Lepisosteus oculatus: one gene and its partner. The protein of the gene in region 1 interacts with the protein of each later gene in a biochemical or structural test. Links are inferred from orthologs where the notes say so. Each region holds a gene or a part of one and is shown on either strand. Other genes may lie near its edges.

The links.
Region 2: the proteins of rnf7 (region 1) and ube2f form a complex in vitro, tested with the Homo sapiens proteins (10 studies listed by BioGRID, with this or other methods). The link is inferred for Lepisosteus oculatus from reciprocal best matches to the Homo sapiens genes RNF7 and UBE2F.

Annotation. Positions count from the first base shown.
Region 1 is NC_090708.1:15,894,697-15,901,576, reverse strand, and holds rnf7 (RING-box protein 2), read left to right. Parts: upstream 1-4,599; 5' UTR 4,600-4,636; coding exon 4,637-4,811; intron 4,812-5,323; coding exon 5,324-5,371; intron 5,372-5,939; coding exon 5,940-6,058; 3' UTR 6,059-6,347; downstream 6,348-6,880. UniProt on the Homo sapiens protein: Catalytic component of multiple cullin-5-RING E3 ubiquitin-protein ligase complexes (ECS complexes), which mediate the ubiquitination and subsequent proteasomal degradation of target proteins.
Region 2 is NC_090707.1:7,789,624-7,797,692, reverse strand, and holds the start of ube2f (NEDD8-conjugating enzyme UBE2F), read right to left. Parts: upstream 3,043-8,069; 5' UTR 2,805-3,042; intron 1-2,804. UniProt on the Homo sapiens protein: Accepts the ubiquitin-like protein NEDD8 from the UBA3-NAE1 E1 complex and catalyzes its covalent attachment to other proteins. Together with the E3 ubiquitin ligase RNF7/RBX2, specifically neddylates cullin-5 (CUL5).

The DNA.
Region 1 (6,880 bases):
TACAACTTTATATACTGTATAGCTATGATAGTAGACATTTGATATTGTTAATGAGTTTTGTGGAAATAACATAATTGATCAACTCATTGAAGAAATAGACATTTCAAGGAAGTCCTAATAAAGTACAATTCACTTACAGTACAATGCTTGATCCCTCATGGGGAAGTAAAGGTAATTGAAGAAATACAATTGCAACAAATACAGATGGATAGAAAATTAAATAATTGAAACACTCCACTAGCATGTCAGTCTCTGATTGCCTATAGTGAATGCTTTTCCACTGTCCACCTTCATTTTGAACAAGCTGGTTCACTACAGTACTATTGCTCCTGTTTTTATCAATCAGATCTATCTGTGCTTCTATATCAGGACTGATAAATAGACAAATGTGCAAGATGTTCATATGAGGAGTGGCAATCTTTCTTTAATTCACATATCATGCTTCACTTTTCAAAAACAGAGGAGAGCAAAGCAAGGCAGTGGATCAATATTTGCCATCATGGGGTAAAGTCAGTGCCAGATTTCCCATTAGACACTGTAGGCACAACATGCTTGCGATCAACTGTAGGTGCTCCTAGCTATCTAGCGGCTGTTCTAGAAACTAGATAGAAACTATCGAAGTGATGGTTGCTCGACTTGCTCCATCAATCACATGGTTTAGCATTAGAATAGTTTAAAGTGCATCATGTCAATCAATGTAATTCCATTGGTGTTTACCCCTCTTTTTGTACATTTTGGAGTGGAAGTACATAGGGCCTACAAACACCAAAATCCGGCCCTGGGTAACGTGACTTACTACATCACTTGCTTTTGCACTGTCATTGATTATTTAAGCTTTTGAGTCAGACTGCTAATTGAATTTCAGACCTGCTGGAACTCAGCTAGTATCACTTCCCTTCTCCACATATGGCTCAAATGCTGAGCAATGAAACAAAAATGTGCACATTTTCTTTCAGATAGTCAAATAACATTCCCCCTGTGGCTTTTCATAAATGATGTTTTATAGAATTAAATAGATTACAATGTTATGAGTTTTAATATTTTTTAAAACAATTTTATGGAAGTACAACTCACAACATTGATGTTGAAAGGCCAGCAGGGGATACATTTATTTTGAGGCAGCTTTCTTTTTTCACTTAAACCCACATTCACGCTGTGTTAAAACTGTGAATTAGGCCAGCTTTCATATTTACTACATTGTTTCATGATATGAAAGATAACACTTCTAAGGAGTAATGTTTGAGGTACTTCAGCTAAAGTTACCAGCTTTACAAGAGTAGCCTGCTGAAGCTACATTTTTGCTGTTTGTTCTTTGTGGTTCTGGAGCTTAAGGGAATGCCCTAAACTGACAGGCTGAAGGCACTGAATCTTTTTAGTCTTCAACATGGATGGTTTTGAGAGTAAATTATAAAATTATTCACAATCATCTAAGGCAATCCTGCTGAATTCTTCAGAATTTATACTGAAATAAGAATTAGAAGGCACAAGTGCAAACTACATGGAAGAGCAATTAAAACTGGCAACAGGAAGCATTTCTTCACCCAAATGGAATGAGAGTATGGAACAAGCCCCAATACCCTGGCTTCTTTGGAGAAACACTGTGAAACACTCAGATCAATTGACTACTAACTACCAATTGAGCTAGATGAGCAGAATAGCCTCCTCTGATTTGTAACTTTTCTACTGGTCTTCTATTCATTCCAATCAAATGACCACCTTTTGTTCTCGGTTTGCTTCTAAGTTCCACAGCATCAGGTCTCTTCTTCATTACCAAATGGGCCCAAGAACTGGAACCACAAATTCATGTCTGTGCTTTAAAGATCTGTATTCAACACTCACTGCATCTACAGCCTCCTACCCACTTGTACTGATGTCTTTGTTTAAGAGACTAACCTACAGAGATATTTTATTATTTTCTTTCAGTTTCAATCAGTAAAATTACTAATCTTGCATTTCTGTAGTGCCCCACATACACAATGAATTATCTTACAGTAGAAATTGAACATCTTCCTTCTATTTTTAAACATTTATTGCAGAGATAATCAATAAATGTTTAAAGACAGCTGACAATATCTGAATAATGAAGCAAAGAGGGTTATTAGGAAAAGTGATTTGAATGATCTAGATTCTGGAATGGTCAGTGAACTAGTCCAATGTGCAGATGATGTCAAAAAATAGTTTGACAAATTGAATACTCAGTAATCACTTGTCAGGTGGCATTTAATGGAGACAAATAGTGATAAAGCTGAGTGGTAAATGCACATACCAGAAATTCAAACTAAAAAAATAAGACAGAGGACAGGGAACATGTAGGAGCTACCTATTGACAAATTACTATCATCCTCTAGACAATGAGGAGAAGCAATAATCAATCAATCAGAATTAATGTTGAGCTACATTGGCATTTAAAGTGTAGCATTTAAATCAAAGGATGTTAAAATTGTACAATGGACTAGTAAGAACTAATTTAGAATATTGTGTAGTATTTTGATAATGCTGATTTGAAATCAGGCCAAAAATTACAAACTAGATACATTCCTAGGTTTAAAGGAATGTCCTATTCTAACAACTAAAAATAATGGCTATATTTAGTCTTGGACAGCTGAAACTGTAGAGAAGTTCACTTAAAACAGAGAAAAGGGGACAGAATTGTTATACAAAGATGGGAGTCTTCAAGAAGTTACCCAGTCATGTTGCTGAAGCAGATACTGACTTGTTTCAAGAAATGGCTGGATGAGATCCTGGAATCAATTAACTATGAATTACTAAAGCCTGTTACATTCTTGTGAAGTTAAAAACATTATTAAATGCTATATTGAAAAGCAGGTATACCCATACTATTAATACTATCAAACTGCCTTGTATTTCTGTTTGTAAGGGTATACTGTACCTTAATTGGTAGAAATAAACAATATTTTTTGTTGATGCATTGTGTTCTTTTTTCTTGAATTGTTTTGTGTTGCTCTGCTCAGGAAACAGTGGCTGCTGTTGACTAATGACAGAGCCCAGATTCAAACCAGTGATGAAGGGGCTACAGGACTCTGAAAGTTGGGAGCTCTCATTTTTTTTTCTGTCTGTTTATAGCTAAAGATCGCATTCTCATACAATAGCTGCTATTAGTTTTCCCAGCTGTTACTATGAGACAAAAGAATTGTTCTTTTTTTATCATGGTCCTGCAAGAATGTACGCATTCTTCATGCTGTTATCTATACTATGAGCACTGTTGGTCCTCAAACAGCTGAGTATCTGATATCGGAACCACAACAGTGTTGTTTTATTTCTTGATTGGCGTTATTTTATGCCCATGCTAACATTCTCAGCTCCTTTTTCTATTCCGTTTGAAGGTTACCATGCTGTGCTACAGGAATAACCCAATAAATAGAAGATTACATACAAGGAATGTGTTCAAAAGTAACAAAGTTAGAGAGTAGGATCTCAGGATGAAACTGTATCTGACTGGCTGTGGTTGACTGTTTGCTGTTTGTCACTATAGAAGAATTCACTTAGCCCTCCAAAGTAGAAGAAAAACAGAAAAGAACTAAGAATACTTTAGTTTCTGTTGGGTCACTGCTTCATGCAAACACAAAATGTACAAAAAATAAATTTCACTTTTAACTTCAAACCTTATCTTTCTTATTTTTGTTTTCTTATATTTAATTTTTTCAGTGTTATATGTCATTAAAGCTCTGTGTACAAGGGATCAACTAGTGAATGAACCAATTTTAACTGATCAACAGAAAAAAAACAAGATTATTCATAAGAAGCTTTAATGTTGCCTACTTGTTTTAATTATGTCCTTAATTCACCTGAATGATGGTAACTGAAAATTATTTTCAAATTACAAAAGCATGGACAGAAACAGCTGAAACGGCGATATGAAATAAAGAAATAAAATAAAATCTTTCTTGCAAAAAATGTCAGGCTTAAAAAATGAAAAGTATCTGTCTTTATACTCTTAACGCTTTAAAAATGTTTCACATGGGACTCATTATCACATTTCTTTGAAAAAAGGTAGGTCACTCTAAAACGCAGAGCTCTGATTGTGGATTAAAGCATCTGCTGTGCTGAGAGGTATTGAGTTGAAAATGCAACACCAGTGAGCTCTCTTTGATTGACTACTTCTCTTTGAGCCAGGTATTTATCTCATGCCCAGTCTCACTCCTGAGTAGCCTGGGGGAGCAGAGTGTTTTACATTACAGGGTACAGTGTCTACTTTGGGCTTCTCCTTGACTGGACTCATTTATCCTGTGCTTCTGTTACCATGTATGAAGTTTTTATTTTTAGAAATTTTGGATTTTCTTAATTTTTCTGCGTTACTATGTGTGTGATGTGTGTGTTTACCACAGTTTGCATGTGGTATTACAATTGTTAAATCATAAAACATACTAGCCTTTCTACAGTATGAATATTATGTTATTATGCTTAATATTAGGACAGTATGATTGAATTCTACCCAAAACAGGTATCAATGTGTTAAAAATTATATTTAATATTAAATTATATTAACACCAGTAGCGATTTAAGATTACGTTGGAGCTTTAGCCCCATCTTGCGGTTGGCCCTTAGTAGTACATTGGCTTATTGTGCTGTGCAGCCGCACTGGTCCGTCCATTTTGTTTTCCCTTGTACCATTGCTATGGTGGAGATGGATGACGGAGACGAGCCGGTTTTGATTCCTTCTCACAGCGGCGGATCTGGCTCTAAATCTGGAGGAGACAAAATGTTTTCCTTAAAGAAGTGGAATGCCGTGGCAATGTGGAGCTGGGACGTAGAGTGCGATACCTGTGCCATTTGTAGAGTTCAGGTTATGGGTAAGTGAAACAAAAAGAGGACGGCTTTATCGTGTCTTTTCACCAGAAAGGAAGTTGTGGATCCTGTTGGTCGGCAGCAGCAGCCATGCACCTCTTTTTAATGTAAGAGGGGGAAGTGGTGCGATGCGGGAGTTTTTTTTTTAAGATTTGGTTGATAAAAGCAGTAACATGCAGGTCGCGTCGCAGTAGGCCTTGTGCACTTATCAACAAGAGAATATTGTAGCTTCGTAGCAAAATCCGACAATGTTGTTGTTTAAGTAATAAAGTAGAAAACGTTGTTTCGAGTGAATAGTCAGCATTACAGTTATCTCTATTATAGTGTATGTAAGTATATAATTATAACTAGCTGTCTGAGTTAACATTTTACGATTTTTGTAACGAAAAATGATGTAAAAATACGTGTTAAGTTGCGGCTTTTTTTTGCCTGTGGTATGTTAACGTATTGGAAGTACATTTCAGATTTTTACGTCAATTTCAATCTGGCAGTGCATGTGTTTTTCCTGCTTGTTTAGATGCTTGCCTTCGATGCCAGGCGGAAAATAAACAAGAAGATTGTGTCGGTGAGTCCCCTGTGATTTGATAGTGTTATCTGGTGAAGCATGAAAGCTGGACTAAGAATTAATTGCCTTAGCCGTTCAGTGCTACTGGTTACGGCCCACCTTTGCTTTAAGAACATATGGTTAACAATAATTTAAATCTGCAGAACATTACTTGAATAACCAAATAACGCAGTATCAAGAAAACGGTGCTGGCGTTTTACTTTAATCGTGATAAGTGCAAAGTTATTTTACATACTAAAATCATGGGAGTAGTTTGTCTGCTTCATATTCCTGATACTACCGCATTTTTTGTGTCCAGAATTATCTTGCTTGAAGAAGTCGAGAGATAACAGTCATCTCTCGACTTCAGAATAACGATCTGATAAATTATCAATAGGTGCCTTGACGTTCTTATGGTAATCCAGACCCCTTTTAATGACCTCACTGCACAGCATTCCTATGCATGTAAAGGGCAGCTGCAGTTTACTCGGACCTCTTGAACCCTGTCCAGTTCATGAGCTCTCAGAGAATGTGATCTGTTGCTTGGTGGATTTTTAAAGCCAGCCTGTCTCATCCTTTTCCTTTTCAGTGGTCTGGGGAGAGTGCAACCACTCCTTCCACAACTGCTGCATGTCCCTGTGGGTGAAACAGAACAACCGGTGCCCACTCTGCCAGCAGGACTGGGTGGTTCAGAGAATTGGCAAGTGAACGCGTCCTGTGCATCAGGTGCAGGCTCACCCTCCTCGTACAGGCCTGAATTTGGACTTGCCAAGATGGGCTTGCCTTTACCTCTCGCCGTGTGGGGCGGCTACCATCCGTCGGCCTGGGACTAATCCGTTCATTTGCCGGGAAGCGGACAGCTCCTGCAGACCTCCTGGGAGCAAGTATGAATAGACGACCCTCCAGGAAAAGGCCTTCCAGCAGTTCTCTTCGCATGTTTCGTGACTGTACAGGAGCCTGTTTTACTTGGTGATGTAATAAAACAATCAAAAGAAAATAGGTATCATCTGTTTGTGTGAAACCGAAGGATGGGAAAACCCAATGGGGGAGGATTTTAGGGATTTAAAGGGCCTGATATCTGGGAATGCTTTGCTGAGGTTGGGAACAGGATTTTAAAAGACAGGCCTGGGAATGATTTGACGGTATATACTGTAGGTCAATCAAAGCAGAAGCTGGTGTTAAATTGTACTTTCCTTTTTAAAAAATGACGGTAGAAGTGCCAGTCCTCTTGACATGATAGCAGTTTTGTCCAGGAATGCATATTTCTAAACTTAATGGTTGTTGTGTGTTTTTTTTTTTTGGTTTATTCAGTGTTTATTTGAATCTTTCATTATAAGAAGGATAAGCCAGAAGGGAGAAAGGGTCTCTCCCTAACAATTTTAACTGCTCTGTTATTCTTGAGTGTTTGATTGCAAGTGTATTTACTGATTATTTTTTTTTACCTTCTACCCTGGACATCATCTCAGTCTGCTGCATGGTCAGATGATTCACTACTCCCTTGTTTTATTTGAATGGCAGCACTGTAGGATA
Region 2 (8,069 bases), on another chromosome or scaffold:
CTCTGGACTGCAATACGAAGCAGTCTGTTATATTTCCCGATAACTACGTTTCCTAATGCCCTGATACAGCATCCCAAACAAAGTAGGCCAGAGGGTGCACGTTTTCTCTCCAATGTCTAAAAGTGGAACACATAAAAACTGGTTATGTATTATTATAATTAATTATCATCACAAAAGTTATGAATTGACTGGAATCAAACGATTTTGCATTCTAGTGCCTTGCTGACAAAGCAAATAAAGTCGTGTACTGAGAACTTGTTCTTCTAGGTACTGCCTGTAAGAGACTTCTGAGAAGTCTTGTCAATAGCCATGTCTGCTGGGGTGGTCAATGAGCATCTGTACGGCTCAATACAGCAGAGAGCCACTCTGTGAAATAACAGGAAATACAGATCAAATAAACCAGTTCTTTGACCTCCTCTGTCCTCTCTCCTTTGTCCCTTCCCCACACTAACACTCTTACATAGTGTGGTGGAAACTTTAAAAGTCATGGGATAAGAGATCCATTTCAGATGGAGTATCTGAAAGCAGCTCTTCTATTTCTTTAATGCGTAAACACATCCACACAGACTCTGGCACGAAGAAAATATAGTTAACATAGTTAGAAAAGGCCATTTGTACAGCAATCAGGGACAGACTGGGCTTCCCTGGGCAAAGCGCTGCCCTCAGCAGCGCTGTTTGAACGTCCTGCAGCACACTGCTCTCCCCCGGTGCTCTTTCCTGCTTCATGAGATGCCCTGTATCACATGTCACAGCGATTCCTATACATGTCTGAGCCAAAGGTGTGCCCCTCCCCCACTCCGTTTCCAACAGCTGTCACAAACAGCCCAGCCCCCTTGTTAACTACAGGACTGGGACAAAGCCTCCCAGGGGTAGGTATTATTCATTTACTTGGAAGACAGTTTTAGCTACAAAATCTTAAATTTGGACCTAATTATCCAGTGCAGCATTTTACTGAAAATCTGAGCAAAGTGCCTGGCTCATGGGTAATAGAACAGCACCCCATTAAAGTTCCGAATCCCCAGACATCACCTCCACACCAGAAAATGATTCTGCTGTGATTCCGATCTGTGATTGACATTTGCTATGGTATTTCTTCCTTCCACTCCAAACGTGGCAAGTTGAGCCATAATCCGTTTTTCAGTTTTTATTTTTCTTCTTCATACTGCAGGACAACCAGGCATGAAAACCAAGAAGGCCTCTTTAAAAAGGTGATGTCTGAAAATGTATTGTGGGTTAAATTTACTATCATGGGAAAATATCACTGAATAATTTATGCAAAAACTGATAACTCTTTTATAAGAAAGTTCATTGTTCACAGCATTATCCCTTCATTGTTAGAGTCACTTACGAACATGAAAGACTGTGGTTTTTATAACTCCATCTATATCATGATCTGTGAAATACTGACAAATTCACTGTACTGGTTCTCAAACCAGAGAATTTCCCTAGAGCTAGTGAGGACTCTGCAACCCCTCCCCATTAACCCTGTCCCAGAATTTCACTTTAGGCCAGAAATGTCCAATACAGAGAAGACAATCTGAAGAGCCAAGATAGAATAAAGTTAAAAAAAAGATAAATGTAGCAGCACATATGTAGAACTGCACAATAGTAAGATTTATCTTAATTACAGATGATAAAAATCTGATTACTCAACATATGTGTTTAGTATAGATTTAAATCTAGAAGAAACAACCTGAAGTATAATCCTTTGAGTTATAACATTTTTATTATGGTCACTTGAACAGTCAATTAAAAAGGCACTGGTGTACCTCTAAAAAGGCTCCCAGAGAAACCCGTACACAGCGGTTCTGCAGTCCCTCTATGCAGACAAGAGCAATCCTGCACTGAGCCCCTATCTTGCAGAATTCCTGAAATCCACAGTATACCAGAGCCTGCATTGCAGCAGTTAGGAGAACTCATACATCTGTATGTAGTGGCACACTGCTGTAGGTAGCAAGATAGCCACAATTCTGCTAGTTTTGCAGGTTATCTATAAACCACGGACTGCTTAGAAAATACTAACCCTTTCATTCCATAAAACTAACACCACATTCTGGAGCAGTGCCAGCAATCTGGGGAAAAAACACCTTGAAGGAAGCAGTGACTAGGCCTCTTGAATAAGAGCCTACAATTTAACTCTCATACACCTCCAGGTTAAATAAAACATGTATTATTACTTATTAGAATTCACTAGCTTATAAAATATAACAAGGACTTTAAATCCGCGTGATAATGCGTTTTGACTCGCTAAGGAAAAAAGAGCATTCACGATTCTAACTAAATCCATAGACACCTCATTATTTGAAATTACACTTCATTTGTTAATATTCATTTCACATCAAACTTCAGGAATTGCTTGTACCGGGATGTCAGTGCAAACAATCCACAATACGGTATCATCCAGTCCATTGCGGAAGGAATCACAACAAATACTTAATCAGCTTCCCAGTTCCTAAGAATATATCAACGTTTTCAAAAGGACAGTGACACCCATGTCCTTCGGGTCACACTACAATACAGCTGTCAAGACAGAAATTGTAAAAAACAGAAGATGCCGGTCATATCACTACATTCCAAACAGCTCACTTCCAGTAAATACCGATACAACAAACGAGAACATCCAGAGAATGCCTTTACACCAACAACAAAAAAAAAACTATTGATTCAAACATTTTAAACGGAATCCACCAGAGGGACATTTAGCGAACCTCATCGCGGAACACATTCACAATTCTTCTGTTCGGTTCAAACTGGCTTTCGCGAAAGCGTTTTAACGCCTTCCTTGTTTTTTTTTTTCTGTTTACCTGCTGTCTCTGAAGAAAGCGTTCCGGATTACACCATTACTAAACACCGACCACAAGCACAGGTCTGTCCGCTGCTCAAGCCGCAGATCACTATGTCGGTTAGAAACAACTCCCGAAAAAAAAAAAAGGTGATTAGGATATGGATTTTCTGGAAATTTCACAGCTTTAAACTCTAGAAAACACCACTACCAGAGACGGAAGTGCCGTTTCTGATCCCTCTGGTAAAATCGTCCGACCACCACACGCGACACTTAAACAATAGTTCCGCTGTTTCTATTACGTGTATTTATCCGGTATCATCAGAAACCGTTTAATCATCCTCAGAACAAAGGTCTCCCGTTCCAGTGCTGGAGGCCCGGTTTGTCCAGAGGTTTTATTGTCTAATTAAAATCAACATCATTAAATAGCTTAAAGATCTGTTAAAATGATCAAATTAAGACAATGATAGACTCAGGTCATTATCACACAGAGAGAGAGAGAGGACACACACATACAGAGGACAATCACAGAGACACCAGTTAACCTGGACAGCGTGTGTTTGGACTATAGGAGAAAACCCATCCAAACAACATGCAGACACCACACATAAAACACACTTGAAACCAAACCCAGGGTCCACCACAATATGCTCATAGATTTGCCTGGCTGCCTGTCACATGGTGTATGTGGCTGCAGCAGCTGAGTCCAGGACCCCCACCCCAGAGACTGGCAGAGAAGAATATAGTCCTATGGCCTTAGATGGAGAAAGTGCCTGGACTTCATTGAGCTACAGTGTTAGACAGTGATTCAGCCAGTGCTTATGCATGAGTCTTCAAAAGGAAGTACTACAGTATGTACATTTCTATAGAATCTTTATCAACAATTTGCATGACTGATTCCCATATTTATGTCATCCTTAAATGAACAGAATGATAGAGAAGAACTAGGGTTTCAGCATTTGAGCATTTCAGCATGGGCTTCCTTGCTAGGCTCCCTTCTGTGAATGAGGGGTGGGTAAGGACAGCTGTCTGTTTCCATGAAGCAGAACCAGTAGGAGCATTGTGGTTACAGACACTGCTGGACAAGAAACATGTCTGCACCTCCAGATGGGCCCCAGCCCCATTCCAGTATGAGGTCACTGACAGTCCCACAGCTCTGTCTGGGTGCTGTATGTTTATACACCTGGGCACACTTTCATGGATCACTCATTCCTTTATATTCCCAGGTAGGACAGTGTCAGAACAAATTCTCATTGACCCATTCATACAGCGGGGCATTTATTCATGTTATCTGGGGGAACGCATTGTACTGTGCTTAAGGGCAGACGAGAATCTATGCTGACAGGTTGTGGGTTTGAGTCCCTGCTACAGACACTGCTGTGGTACCCTTGACTGAGGCACTGTACCCCAGTTGTTACGGTGCAGAAGAAGCAGAATCCTCTGAACTCAAAAGTACCAGCAGGAGTTTCTCCAAAATCATGGGTCAGGAGGTCAGGCCAGGGTCAAAAAACCAGTAAATCCACAATAACCAAGTCAAGATCCAGAAGACGAAGTCAGAGACAAAGCCAGGGGTCAGTGCCAAAAACCTAGAAATCTTGCAAAACAGAGAACAAGATACAATGCAGCTCTAGCTAGGTAAAACCCAATACTGAGCAAGGAGTAGTGTGTCAGGTTGGTTTAAATAGGCAGATGGAAGAAGGTGTGTCTGATTAGTTCATTGGAAACTGCACTGGAGTTTGAAGGAGTTGATTAAGGGTGGTGAGTTCTCCAGGGGCATGATGTAACACCAGTTACTCCGGTCCTCCCTGACAGAAGTTCTCTCTCATCCTTGGAACGCTACAGAAACCAGGATGACCTCTGGCCCCGTGAGCTGTGTGGCTCTGGTCTGGATTCTACCTGTTTACCTTGCTCAAGAGTACAACTAGAGTATAACCACCTGGGATTTGAACCCACAGTCTTTCAGTTGGGTGTGTGGAGCTCACCACTACCGTTTCCATTTTGTGTGAAAGGGTTCGTGGTGTAGTATAGTATCAAGATTGATGTGGCTGACAGAAAATTGTTATAAATTAGTCCAGACTTTTCCAGTGTCTCTTTGCAGTGAAACAGTGGAAATCCTGTCTTGTTTGGCTGCCGTGATTTAATGTGGTTTGTGTTCACCTTAGAAAGGGCACAATTCCAAAATCATTAAATGAGTTCATGCAATTCACAATTGAGAAGCGGAATGTGGCATCACATTAAAACTGATCTAGGGCTCATTTCTGCCTACAGCACTGCTGTGTCACAGTCTCCGAGAATATCAGGGCATCTTTCATTTTTTTTCCAGGCCTAGAGATGCCACAGAGGAAATTACATCTCTGGATTCTGCTCCTGGTTCAGCAGGAGTGTCAGAAAAGCTACACACTAGATAATGATCTTTTGTAATGAGACTAGAAAGAACAGCAAGAAGCTAAAATGAGTAAATAATTAAAGCATGCTCATTTTCCTTTCAATGTGATATTAAGAATTTCATAGACACTGAAGCCTAATATCATATAAAAGGTTCTGGTTTGCCACAAGGAGCTTGTTTTTATTAAACTATTCAGATGCAAAAATATCTTTTTTAAGTGACGACAAAAATAAAATGTAAAAATCTTAAGTACAATTTGCATAAGCATGTGAGGAGTACCTGAAGAGGAGCTTTTCAAAACACAATACATTCAACAACTAGTTGTGAGCTCATAATGCTACCAGAAAGAGGTTGTTAGCATTCTTCCTAAAATAAAAGAACATGTTACTCCTGCCCTGGCTGCTTTTTCGTTTGTATTCTACGTTATTCTCAAGCAGCTGAAAGGCTCTTAATACATGCACAATACAATAAAAGATTTCCATGACATGAGGTGGAGCTGTGGTTAGCAGTGGTTAGCATTGGCCCTTGTACTGCTGGGGCCCTGGACTCAGTTCCAAACCTGGAGCGATGTCTGCGTGCAGTTTGTGTATTCTCCTTGTACTTGTGTGGGTTCCTCCCACAGTGCAAAGACCTACTGGTAGGTTATTTGCCTGGGAAAATTGGCCCTGGTGTGAGTGTGTGTGTATCTGTGTTTGTGTCTCCCATGCAGGGTATATCCTGCCATGTTCTAGCTGCTTGCCAGGATACCAGGATAGACTCAGGCTCCACCTTGGCATCTGAACTAAAAGAAGTGGTTAGAATATAGATGCATGATGCTAAAATCTGATCACTACTTACTACATGTGGCACAAAAGAGGACATCTCTTTGAAAGAAGAAAATTTAAAACATCTATTTAGATGGACATTCTTTAGATCCTTAATGAACTAGTGATAATGTGATTAAAAATATTTTGCATGCATCAGAGCAGCTCGTGAATTAGAGTAGTTCGTGAATTATTCATACAGTCCCAGCACAATTTGCAAAATGCAATATTACATTACAAAGAGCAAATTTTAATCAGCAGAGACTTTGACCACAATATTAATGGCATAATTAGGTTTGTTATCAAAAATTATTTTTTGACTTCATGATATCCCAACCATAATTAAAATAACTGTCTTCTATAGGAACGATCAAAAACAAAGTGTTTAATCAGACAATGCAGGACAGAACTTCTATGGATGAAAATGATTTAATTTACCTCTGAATCTGAAACTCATTAACTCATCCTCCTTTTGAATTCTAGATGTGTCATCTGGAGAAAAACAAAGAGATGTGCTCTTTAAGCCCGTGCAGTTCTGTGCTCTCGAGACACCTGTGCTGTTTGTGTGTTCAAGTTGAATAGATTTCAGCTTTCTCCAGCTAGCAGAGACAGATGCCTGTTGTCATCATTTCAAGAACAAGGACCAAGATAAGACAAAATTGTATTTCTTTACTTCATATGCATTATTTGGGAAAGTAGGTAGGTGCTGTAAGGTCATTTCCATATCCAAGTCATATAAGCTCATCGGGCCAGAGCTCATGAACCAGTGTGGCCGATATTAAGTGGTGTTAGGTGGCCTAGAGAGCATGTGACTCCCCCACCCACACCTCTCCTGGACATCAGTCCATTGCAGAGCCTACCTCCAGCAATACTTACACAGCTGGGTGAACTGGGGTTATGTACCTCTCTCAAAGTGCAACAGCAGTGTCTTCAGGGGGGACTCAAACCCACATCAGGTGTGAGACCAGAGACCATGCTACACCACCCCCATTTGTGTATATAATAAAGATATTACAATAAACATAACATTGTGTCTGTTTCTGCATGAGTAAATACTCATAGAGGTACAAACCATGGAGCGATGGGATGTCTATACTCCTGGACACAGGGTCCCATGGATGCAGAAGTGCAGTGATCTCGCACATTTGGAAGTGGAGTGAAGTCATCTGGCAGATGTGAAAGGGGATTGAAGGGCAGTCTATGCTCTTGGATGCACAGGTAAAAAAAAGTAACTCATTTATTCAGTGTGCTCTCAGCTGCCCACAGAGCAGAAGATTAAAGCTGAAAGACTTTAGAAGCCTTGCACGCCAATCCGTTTCAGTGTGAAGAAGGCATAAGTGCATTCAAGTCAAATGTCTCTCTCTCAAACACACACTGCATGAAGCAAAAAGCACTGAGACTAATCTGTTGTAACAAAAAGGATACAAAACAGCAGAGCCGGGTGCCTTCAAATGTGAAGGGGGCCAAAGTTTTTGTGGAGTTCTGCTACACTGTCTGTACACATTACCCATCCTGAGTCCTAATTGGATTAACTGAAGTGAGAATATAATGGCTGTCTGTACTGACAGCAGCTCAAAACAAAACCTTCAAAGACCTTAAAACTTTCTTTCCCTCTGGTATAATTTACTCAGCACAGCCTTCCAGCTTAGATGGTCCATGTCTTTCATTGAATTGTGGGAAGCCTCCATAAGTATGGTAAGGATGGAAAATTCCAGCTGAAAAAATTAAAGCAATTCATGTGCAGGAAAAGCAATTTTTACAAAATAATAAAAGCATGCTAGTGGCCAGTTCAGGCCATTTTCATTTTTCTGATCACTCAAATTGGCTATCTTGGCGGTCACTCTATGCTATCCTCTATGGTGGGCTGCAGAGGAGACTGAGGTGACTGAAAGAGTAGTTTGACGCAGAACCAGGAAGAGATGTGTCACTTGCTGAAGTTTGCTAGACGGAATGTATTAAAATGTATTCCAAGCTGGGCCTCTGAAAAGGGAATGAATATCAGCTAAGCACAAGAACATGTTCTGCTCAATGGACCCTACCTGGCTGAGGGAACTGCCTACTGGCTTTACTGCAGTGAAATGAACCAGTTCCCCATGGC